Arabidopsis thaliana: one gene and its partner. The protein of the gene in region 2 binds, or shares a complex with, the protein of the main gene of each other region. Each region holds a gene or a part of one and is shown on either strand. Other genes may lie near its edges. A codon is read from its position in the direction of its gene.

Region 1 (5,490 bases), on a different chromosome or scaffold from region 2:
GTATCTGACCTATTATGACGGACGATGATAGAACGCTTCTAATAACGCTATAGTATAATTAAATAGCGGTTTTCGGACACTACAAATGCTCCATATTCTTGTAGTGAAATTTTGATAAATTTGGAGAAAACCTTAGAAGTAGAATAGTTTCTCTCAGTTCTATTTATTACACATTAGGCTTATTTATAAAACAATTCTTGACTTACATAGAAATATATGTAAAAACGATTTTGAAGAAGAAGGACAAAAAACAAACATGATATCCAATGAGAAGAAAAAACAATCAATATGTGAAAAGCCTAATGTGTAATCAATACTAGAGATTTGTAATCATTTGTTAGGAAAGCACAAAATAAACATGGAAAAGAAATTAATGTTGAGAGAAAAACAAATATGAATGGGATCAAAAGTAGAAAACTAGGGCATGACATGGGGTCAACTTAGAAAGTTTATACCAAAACATTAATAATTATTAGGTAATTTACCTTATAATTAAAAAAATTATAATGTTATGGGGTTAAATGATCCCCTCCTCCTTAATTGGCTCCGCTCCTAGATATCGCCATTAAAAACCAGTGCATTAACTTCATAAACAGAAAACAACTCTTCTTAAAGTTAAGATGGATAGCTAAAAATGATCTTATATATAGAGAGAAACATTCCAAACTTCAAATAACTCGCTCTAATTACTGCTGATCAATGATTAATACAAGGGGTTATCAAGAGTTTGAAGGAACAAGAAGCCTAATCGTCAAGCCAATCCACGGTGAAGCATTTTTTGGCGACTTCAATGCAAAGTTCAGGAACCACCTTCTTGACCATTTCCCACATAGACGAAGTCTCCTCATCGCAAATGACATGGCGTAGAGACACAAGTGCAGCTACAGAACTTGGTAAACCCAATAAACTGCATTCTCTCATGTCAATTTTCTCAAGACTCCCTAGCTTTCCAAACTTTTCAGGAAGAGAAACCAGGCTGACACACTGTGAAATGTCAACGTACTTTAGACATGGCAGCTCACAAACTTCGACCGGGAGGGATATCAGCTCGGGGCAGGCATATAACCTTAGACGTTCAAGGGACTGTACGTTACTCAAATTCTTGGGCAATTCAAGAATCCGTGGACAGTTGGTTATGCTGAGAGAGTTGAGAGAGGTTATTCCAAATATGGATTTTAGTTCCAAAAGATCATCACAGTGATCAATAGTGAGATCAGACAAGCTTGGGAATATTTTCGAGATGTCGAATGACGTCTGAACAAAGCTGTTCTTGACCTTACAAAAGATTAGATGTATCTTGTGCAGGTTTTTCAGTGGAATGGTGCAGCTGGTGAGTTCAGGGACATGTACCCTCTTGAGCCAGAGACTCCTCAGTTTGGCCAAATTGGCAAAGATGGAGAAGCCATGTAGACGCGCAGGAGACATGCCATTGTTGATAATCACGAGCACCCTGAGTCTACTCATCTTACCAATAAATGGTGGCAAGACGTAGTTGTCCGAAGAGAAGTTCAGTATTAAAACTTCTGCCTTAGGGAGGTCCATGTCAAACCAATTCATTTCATCCATTTCCCCTAAAGACACAAAAAAATCTATCAAACCTGATACGTGATAAGAGTTTTAGGTGTTTTGGTTTTATTTTAGTGGCTTTCTTATTTATCACGTTAAGAAAGTCTAGGATTACGAGTTCAAAGACTAAATCTTTGGCTCGTATCAACTTGAAGACTCTAGTCACTAACCAAATTCATTTAAAGTTAAAGAAGTCTTGCCTGTATGAAGGGAAACTATCTTGGCATCAAATGGCTCATCTTTATTCTTTTCCCATTCTCTTGGAAGCACTGGCTCTGTTTTTGGCATTAATAACCGCTCTCTCCTATTTACGTCCACACGATTGGACATATGAAGGGCTAGGTCTCTCAAAACATCGTGTTGCGTCACAAATACATCATAGTAGCCAATGTGCACATCGCCAAACCTGCAAATTTATGATATGATTAATCCCACTGAAGTGTTGGTACAAGAGACAAAGTCATAAAAGAGCGAATACCTCGGATTGTTCACTATAGTAAGGAGATTCTTGTCAGCTAAACGAAGAACAAAGGAAAACGCAGTTTCCTCGTCAATATCATGCCTCTCAACCCACACGCTCGTGAGAAGATCAAGAGGGATCTTCTTGTCTTCAGGGAAAGCACCCATATCCAAGAAACAGTCTCGGATTTTCGGGTCGAGGTTTTCTAGACTTTCTTCCATATGAGCAAACACTCTGCTCTCATGAGTTTCATCAGCAGCTTCTCCTCTTAATAACCTCTTCACTACGCCTTCCCAATATCTTTCAGGTTTGTTTTTTAACGAAGCACCAAGAACTTTCAAAGATAAAGGTAAACCTTTACACTCATCAACAACCTACCAAACAGAGTAACAATTTTAGTATTTGGAAGCAAAGTGTGTTTTTAGTTACAGATTCAAATATTTATAAAAAGGCATTAGTACCTGCTTCACCAAATATTTGTTGAATGGAGAAGGCGGGGACTTTTGTTCGAAAGCACAGAGACACAAAAGAGACATTGCTTCATCTTTCTTTAATAATTCCACATTGTAGGTGGTTCTAGGATCTGCAAGCTTGGACCGTGACACTACTAAAGTAGTGCTTCCACGAATTTTAGACATCAGCCTGTCCAAGGACTCCCTTGTCCAAACATCATCAAGAATCACTAGCTTCCGTTGATGAACTCCATCATAAAGAAATTCTCGTATACAAGACTCCAAATTCTCAAAATTCGGAGACCGTGACACAGTCAAAAACAAAACCTTATTCTTAAAGAGTCCTGCACAAAAATCTTGATTAGAACTCATGACCATCAACACAAAACAAAATTCAATAAAACTTCACAAACCTCGAACATCATCGTCCTTTGAAAGCTCTATTGCAAGAGTGGTTTTCCCTGAACCGCTCATTCCAGAGATCCCAAACAAATGTGTATCCGTAAACTTAAACATCATCTCCTTCACCTTTTTCTTCCCCAATTCCAATACCGTCTGAATCTCCGGATCGCTTACCGTCTCAATCTCCATCATAGTCTCCGGAAACGACAAAGAATCATTCCGCTCAGTCAACAGTCTATCCATATTCCTCTCAATCCTGTCACCATTGACCCGTAGATGACATACCTCAGCAAGAACAAAGAGCAAAATCTGGCTGTTGAGGAAACGAGATATTTGTTTCTCGAGATCCTTCATCTTATTCGCGTGGTACACATGTTTAAGGTTCCACCTATTGCATCTTAAAACCTTTTCACATAGCTTTCTTGCTTTCTCCAAGATCTCATAGAATACTCCCAGTTGAGTTTGGTGATGGTTACTCAGCTCCGCGCCACTGTATTGGATCTCCCTGATCGTTGGTTGAACGTCTCTGATCATCGTGATCAGTCGTTCGGCGATTCCTTTGCAACTGTAGACTGTGTTAGCTACTAGAGCGAGCAGCTTTAAGAGTTGCGTCGTGATGTCGCCGGCGAAAAGATCTATGAACGAAGCCATCGAGACCGATCTTGGAGTGTAAGACAGAAAAAAGAAAGTGAGATGGTTGAGTGGTAATAAGGGTTGATACGTTTTTAGATTAGAAAATAGCGAAGAAGACGAAGTTTCTTAGCAACTTCCAATAACATACGTTTTGTCGTTTAGTGTTTTAAAGTTTTGTTTCTGCGGTAACACATGTAATAGCTTTGTAATAGATTTCAGAGAATGTATGGATCTTATGGTTACGTATCAGTTTTTCACTTATTATCAAACAGATCGATTTAGTAGTTTTTTTTCGAATTCGATTATCTAGACAAACTCTAAATTACGATATTCCCTAATACGGCCATACGGGTTCAATCACTTTGGGAGTGTAATTGTTTAAAGTTAGCTAAATCCTATTTGGATTAATACCTCTAATCTTGTTTTTTTTGGTCGCTATCTCTATCTAATTTAACTAATTGGGAAAGAAAAACGATCCCATATGCAACCTTGTTTATAATTTTTTTTTCTTGTGATTATTTGGTGTTGATATGTGTATAAACTATATAGGGATTAGGGACTCGAACTTTTTCAATGTTTATTTTGTAGCTTTTTTTTTTTTTTTCCTTTTGACGTCGATTTGTAGATCTAATCATCAAAGATCACTTTACTCTTTTTACGCGTTTTGATTAATATTTTATATATTTCTTCAAATTACTTAATGGTATATATACACTAGTGTTGGTCCAGCTCCAATGGGGTTACAAGAACCGTATTCGCAGATGGGAAGCCGCATGTGTACTATACGGTGGCTGGAGAAGGCATGATGGTTCAACAGCCATTGCCTCAGCCTCAACCGCAGTACCAGGGAATAGTCAACCGGTTAGTACCATGTGTTGTGGAAAAAAAAAGGTGTTACCGTGTTAGGTAAGAATTGAGAAAACATTGGATGTTAAAAGACTTGCTTCCACACTAACTAATCCACATGACACATACTTGTCATATCATTGAGGGTGTGAGTCGTGTGACTAGTTGACTTTAATAGAAGAAAACAAAAAGAAAGGGAAAAAATTACATGTATTAGTCCAACAAAAGAAATTGGAAGAAAATTGTTTCTTCGAAAAATATCAAAAAGTAACTAAATCACATGAATTCTTCCATCTTCAAAGCAAATAAAAATTATTTTTCTTCCTGATGTGATTATTCTATTTTTCCATTTATTCTATATGTTTAACCAGTCACAGCCTTTTAATTAAATTTTACTTAGCGACAATCATTATATTGTCATTATCATTTTGATCATCTCAAGTCTTTGTCCTTATTATTTGTTGCCAAATTAATATGTCTCAATCCAGAAACATGGGTCCATGTAAAAGCTATCATGTCTTTGTCATTAGGATTCAAATTGATATCCATCTTCCCCTTAATTGTTCCCAAATTTGTCTTATCAATTTTATTTCTTGTCTTTACCTCATCAATGGATATGATGTCAGCCAGATTGGTTCTAATTCGGATTTTTTCCTCCAAGTTCCGCATTTAACTGAGTTGGTTAGAAATAAGCACACTTTCCCAGTGTTTGCATAAATAGTGTTTATAAAGACATACCAAAAACCTAATTAAAAAGAAAACAATTCCACTCGGATAGACTAAACCAATTAAAAACCATAAAAAAAACTAACTAATAAAAAAAAAACCAAAAGCACTCGGTTCTTATATTCAGATTATTCTAGTAACTCGTTAATCCATCAAAGTTTATGAAAACGCTATTAAACACATACAATAGCGTTTATCTTGAGTTAAAATGTCTATTTTTTCTTGTAGTACGCGACTTAACGATTTCGTGAAGTCAACATAAGTTAGCGATTAAATTGATAAGTCAATAAAAGTTGGGTATATATTTCATCGAAGAAAGTTGAGGTTTGTATTCAACGAAATTTGAAGGTTGACGCATTAAATGCTTAGTTTTAATTTGGTCTAACCTTAAATGGTTAACCTAAT
Region 2 (5,157 bases):
ATTATGTAGGACCAAAATTTACCAAATATAGTAGATTTTGTGCATTTATTACTTCAGGAGATGGGGATGATTAGATTTAGAGGGTATTGTTTGTTTAGGAAACTTTTTAAAGTAATCACACTAATTTAGGATTTGTGATAAAGTTACCGTTAAAGGATATGTATTGACTAAATTAAATTGTTGTATAATCACAAGATTTTGTTATGATAGAAAAGGTTATTATATGATTACTTTTTAACTATCATGGGGTTAACTTTGGTGGTGGTTGTATATTTGATCAAGCTGAGATTTGGTGTTTATTTTAGTGGGTCCTAAAATGATTTTTAAAATGGATCTTAGGAATAATAAAATTTATCTTGTGGCCATAAATTTAGAAAAGAATAATCCATCATAAGTTAAGCAAGATCTTCTCTTGAGATTTGATTCTATATAAGCCGGTGACATGTTAGGCCCTCCAAAACTTTATAATATATGTTTTAATTGTTTGGGTTGCATAATCTTAGGTAGGGTCATTTATAAAATCCCAATCCTCGTGATAGACACCTCACATGCCTTTGCTTATTACTAAGGAACCAAACCCTCTTTACCAGATTAAGTTTAATGATTATCATATATGAGCTGGCCATTTTCTGTATCCAAAGTTATAAACTTTATGGAATTAGATCACTAACATTTGGTTCCTTATATTTATTCAGATGTCTTGAAGAAGGAGCTGAAGATTTCTTATTGAAGCCTGTGAAATTAGCTGATGTGAAGAGATTAAGAGATTCTTTAATGAAAGCTGAGGAAAGAGCTTTTAAGAATATTATGCACAAGAGAGAGCTTGAAGCTAATGATATCTACTCGCAGCTAAAACGCGCAAAGATCTGAGTTTATCAGATTCCACGTACGATATGTTCTTTAAAAGCTCAAAGATTCACACACATGCATGTCCTGATTCTTTCGGCTTACAATTTTTGAGACATTACGGCTTCTTTTGCTGATAGAACCAAGACTGATCAAGAGTGACAAAGATGGGTTTTTATAAGATAGAAATGTAAATTGTAGACTTGGATTCATTAGAGAGGAGAAGAGATACATTTTTTTTTTCTTTACATGAGAGATATGTAAAATGGTGGTGTGTTATTTTGGAAGTTAACATATGAATTTCTTTTGTTAAGATTACTTAAATAATGATTTAGGAATGGATTAGTAGTTTAGTACCGTTCATTACACGAAGACAAGCTAATCTTTTGTCTAATTAAAATAAAGCTGTCTACATGAATCGAATCCAGCGAGATAAGTTAGTTATTTTAAGCGTTGGTTGGAACACTTTACATGGCTTTTCGTAGAAATTTCCCCAAGTTGGGTTTTATTAAGACCAAGAAAATTCTAGTCTCCTAGACTTTTTTTTGTTTCTTTTGTTAATTTAGTCTCCTAGGCTTTTTCATTCTATCTGAAAGCAAAATATGGTTATGCAATTTGGTTTAGCCAAAAAAACAAACTAAATTTTTCTAGTCCGGTTCATGTAACTTCATAATCAAACAAGTAAAAGTCGAATGTGACGCGTCTTGCCGAACGCAAAAACGGACCAGGCAAGAAGGTGTAGTTAGTTAATTCGGTTAATATTCAGCTGAGAGAAATCGAACCGGTTCCATATCTTGTAGATTATCCGGTTTACTTTCCGGATAAGATTTATAAGCAAAACAGAGTTAAAGTAGTAGATTTCTTCTATACGAGACCAAATCTGAAAACCCAAGTCAAGCTACAAAAACTTAACTCCAAGCGAACAAATCTCCTCATTCATTAAACAACAAAATTGTTTTCCGACAAAAAAGTGAATATCATTGAGTTACTGCGAAATCCCAACCGAGAGTGACATCTCAAACCAAAAGATGGAGTCTATATTAAAGAGACGAAGACTCCAAAGTCAAGCTACAAAATTTCCAAGCAAAGATTACACAGAGAAAACTTTCCGACCAAATGTGAATGTTTATGAAAGTTTCTGCGAAACTCCAGTCATGTCGGATGTACAAAGCCATACACCAATGTAAAACCGACACGTGGAAAGCTAAGATTCCTAGCTTTTCTTTCTTCATGAGTCTCCAATAGCCAAAGAGTCAACTCCAAAAAAAAAAACCCATTTTTGCATTGAAATGGTCTCATGATGGGGTATTTTGGGTAACTAATTAGTCCTGTCTACATCTTCCCATAAATTAACAGAGTAGGAGCGGATTAAAGAAGCAAGACGATTCAAAAGAAAAAAGAGAGAAGAAAGTCCACTAAAGAAAAGAGAATAGATATAGATCAATGGCGTTTGAAGCTCTTACCGGAATCAATGGTGATCTAATCACCAGATCATGGTCAGCCTCGAAGCAAGCTTACCTAACCGAGCGCTATCACAAGGAAGAAGCAGGAGCAGTCGTAATCTTCGCTTTCCAACCATCTTTCTCAGAGAAAGATTTCTTCGATCCGGACAATAAATCTTCCTTTGGAGAAATCAAGTTGAACCGTGTTCAGTTTCCTTGTATGAGGAAAATCGGTAAAGGTGATGTAGCTACTGTTAACGAAGCTTTCCTCAAGAATCTTGAAGCTATCATTGATCCAAGAACCTCATTTCAAGCTTCTGTAAGAAGATTGAAAACATCCGAATATATTTTTCTTTTTTTTTCTTTTTTGGTCTCTTATGCTTTTACTTCTTCAGGTGGAAATGGCTGTGAGGAGTAGAAAACAGATAGTGTTCACAGGACATTCCTCAGGAGGTGCAACTGCAATCTTAGCAACAGTTTGGTATTTGGAGAAATACTTCATACGCAATCCAAATGTTTACCTTGAGCCTCGTTGTGTGACATTTGGAGCTCCTTTGGTTGGTGACTCTATCTTCAGTCACGCACTTGGGAGAGAAAAATGGAGCCGGTTCTTTGTGAACTTTGTCTCAAGATTCGATATTGTCCCTCGGATTATGCTTGCTCGAAAGGCGTCTGTAGAGGAAACTTTGCCTCATGTTCTTGCCCAATTGGATCCCAGAAAGTCTTCCGTCCAAGAGAGTGAACAGAGAATAACAGAGTTTTACACAAGGGTGATGCGAGACACATCAACTGTTGCAAACCAAGCTGTTTGTGAATTGACTGGAAGCGCAGAGGCGTTTTTAGAGACCCTTTCTAGTTTCCTTGAGCTAAGTCCTTATAGACCCGCCGGTACTTTTGTTTTCTCTACAGAGAAGAGATTGGTTGCAGTGAACAACTCGGACGCCATTCTTCAAATGCTGTTTTACACTTCTCAAGCCAGCGATGAACAAGAATGGTCTCTAATTCCATTTCGAAGTATCAGAGATCATCATAGCTATGAGGAACTGGTACAGTCGATGGGAAAGAAGTTGTTTAATCATTTGGATGGAGAAAACTCAATAGAGTCTACGCTCAATGACCTTGGAGTGGTAAGTCTCTCTCTCTCTCTCTTTTCATACTGTGCAGCTCCATAGCTCCATTCTTGCAATCATTTAAACCCTTCAGAGTGTTTCCTTTTTCTGCAGAGCACAAGAGGCAGACAGTACGTTCAAGCTGCATTAGAGGAAGAGAAGAAACGAGTAGAGAATCAGAAGAAGATTATTCAGGTTTGTGGTTGATAAGCTTGTTCATGAATAATGCAGGTACGTGCTTCGTCTGTTTGTGTCTAACAACATAAAACTTGTTGGTTCTGTGGTTTTTAGGTGATCGAGCAAGAGAGGTTTTTAAAGAAACTAGCATGGATAGAAGATGAATACAAGCCAAAGTGTCAAGCCCATAAAAATGGGTATTATGATTCCTTCAAAGTTTCAAATGAAGAGAATGACTTCAAAGCAAACGTCAAGAGAGCTGAGTTAGCCGGTGTTTTTGACGAGGTGCTTGGTTTAATGAAGAAATGTCAACTTCCAGATGAGTTCGAAGGGGACATAGATTGGATCAAGTTAGCAACTCGATACCGCAGATTAGTTGAGCCTCTTGATATTGCAAACTACCATCGACATTTAAAGAACGAAGACACAGGGCCGTACATGAAAAGAGGAAGACCAACCCGCTACATATATGCTCAGAGAGGCTACGAACATTATATACTGAAGCCAAACGGAATGATTGCAGAAGATGTATTTTGGAACAAGGTAAATGGTCTTAACTTAGGGTTACAGCTAGAAGAAATTCAAGAGACTCTAAAGAATTCGGGATCCGAGTGCGGATCATGCTTTTGGGCTGAGGTTGAAGAACTCAAAGGAAAGCCATACGAGGAAGTTGAGGTAAGAGTTAAGACATTAGAAGGGATGCTTGGAGAATGGATCACAGACGGGGAGGTAGATGATAAGGAAATATTTCTGGAGGGTTCAACGTTTAGAAAGTGGTGGATTACGCTTCCCAAAAATCACAAATCGCATTCTCCTCTGCGAGACTATATGATGGATGAAATAACAGATACCTGAACCTTAGGTGGTGGAGTATTTAAGCTATTAGAACACTTGCTTCTCTTAATTTGTGCAATAAGAAATGTTTATCAATCTGGTTTCCACTTCATGATGATCTTAGAATAAGAAACATGTTGTATGATCATTGTGAAGTAATGTAATAGCTCTCTATTCTAATGTCAAATTTGGTTTCCACTTTACAGTGATCTTAGAATATATACGTTACTCTACTAAAGCCTAAAGCCATCTCAAATAGCATGAACCAGTAACAAACAACCTTCCTTAGATTGAAATGGTCTCATGATGGGGTATTTTGGGTAATTACTCCTGTCTACATCTTCCTACTATATTAACAGAGTAGGAGGACTAAGAATCAAGACGACTCAAAAGAAAAAAGAGAAGAAAGTCCACTCAAGAAAAGAGAAATGGCGTTTGAAGCTCTTACGGGAGTCAACGGTGATCTAGTCACCATATCATGGATGGCGTCGAAGGGAGCTAACCAAACGGAGCACTATCTCAAAGAAGAAGTAGGAGGAACCGTTTTTTTCGCCTTCCGAGCATCTTTCTCGTCGGAAGATTTGTTCGCTACGGAGAATACATCTCCCTTTGGAGAAATAAAGATGAAGCGTAATCAATTTCCTTGTATGAGAAGCATCGGCAACGACGTTGACACTACTGTTAACGAAGCTTTCCTCAAGTCACTTGAAGTTCTCATTGGTCCAAGAACCTCATTTCATGCTTCTGTA

What was found.
Region 1: the proteins of EDS1 (region 2) and ADR1 are in contact, whole or in part, in a cryo-EM structure (PDB 8ZW9), measured with the Arabidopsis thaliana proteins. Residues at the interface, in NP_190392.1 of Arabidopsis thaliana: Asn414 (codon at 3,797), Glu416 (codon at 3,803), Phe419 (codon at 3,812), Val423 (codon at 3,824); in NP_174620.2 of Arabidopsis thaliana: Phe780 (codon at 771), Thr781 (codon at 768), Val782 (codon at 765), Asp783 (codon at 762).

Annotation. Positions count from the first base shown.
Region 1 is NC_003070.9:12,167,133-12,172,622, reverse strand, and holds ADR1 (Disease resistance protein (CC-NBS-LRR class) family), read right to left. Parts: upstream 3,856-5,490; 5' UTR 3,532-3,855; coding exon 2,892-3,531; intron 2,823-2,891; coding exon 2,488-2,822; intron 2,401-2,487; coding exon 2,045-2,400; intron 1,973-2,044; coding exon 1,767-1,972; intron 1,572-1,766; coding exon 745-1,571; 3' UTR 504-744; downstream 1-503.
Region 2 is NC_003074.8:17,754,825-17,759,981, reverse strand, and holds EDS1 (alpha/beta-Hydrolases superfamily protein), read left to right. Parts: upstream 1-1,834; 5' UTR 1,835-2,289; coding exon 2,290-2,607; intron 2,608-2,683; coding exon 2,684-3,415; intron 3,416-3,511; coding exon 3,512-3,592; intron 3,593-3,688; coding exon 3,689-4,429; 3' UTR 4,430-4,653; downstream 4,654-5,157. Other genes in the region: RR5 (response regulator 5), read left to right, coding at 696-870; AT3G48080 (alpha/beta-Hydrolases superfamily protein), read left to right, coding at 4,837-5,154. UniProt on the Arabidopsis thaliana protein: Positive regulator of basal resistance and of effector-triggered immunity specifically mediated by TIR-NB-LRR (TNL) resistance proteins.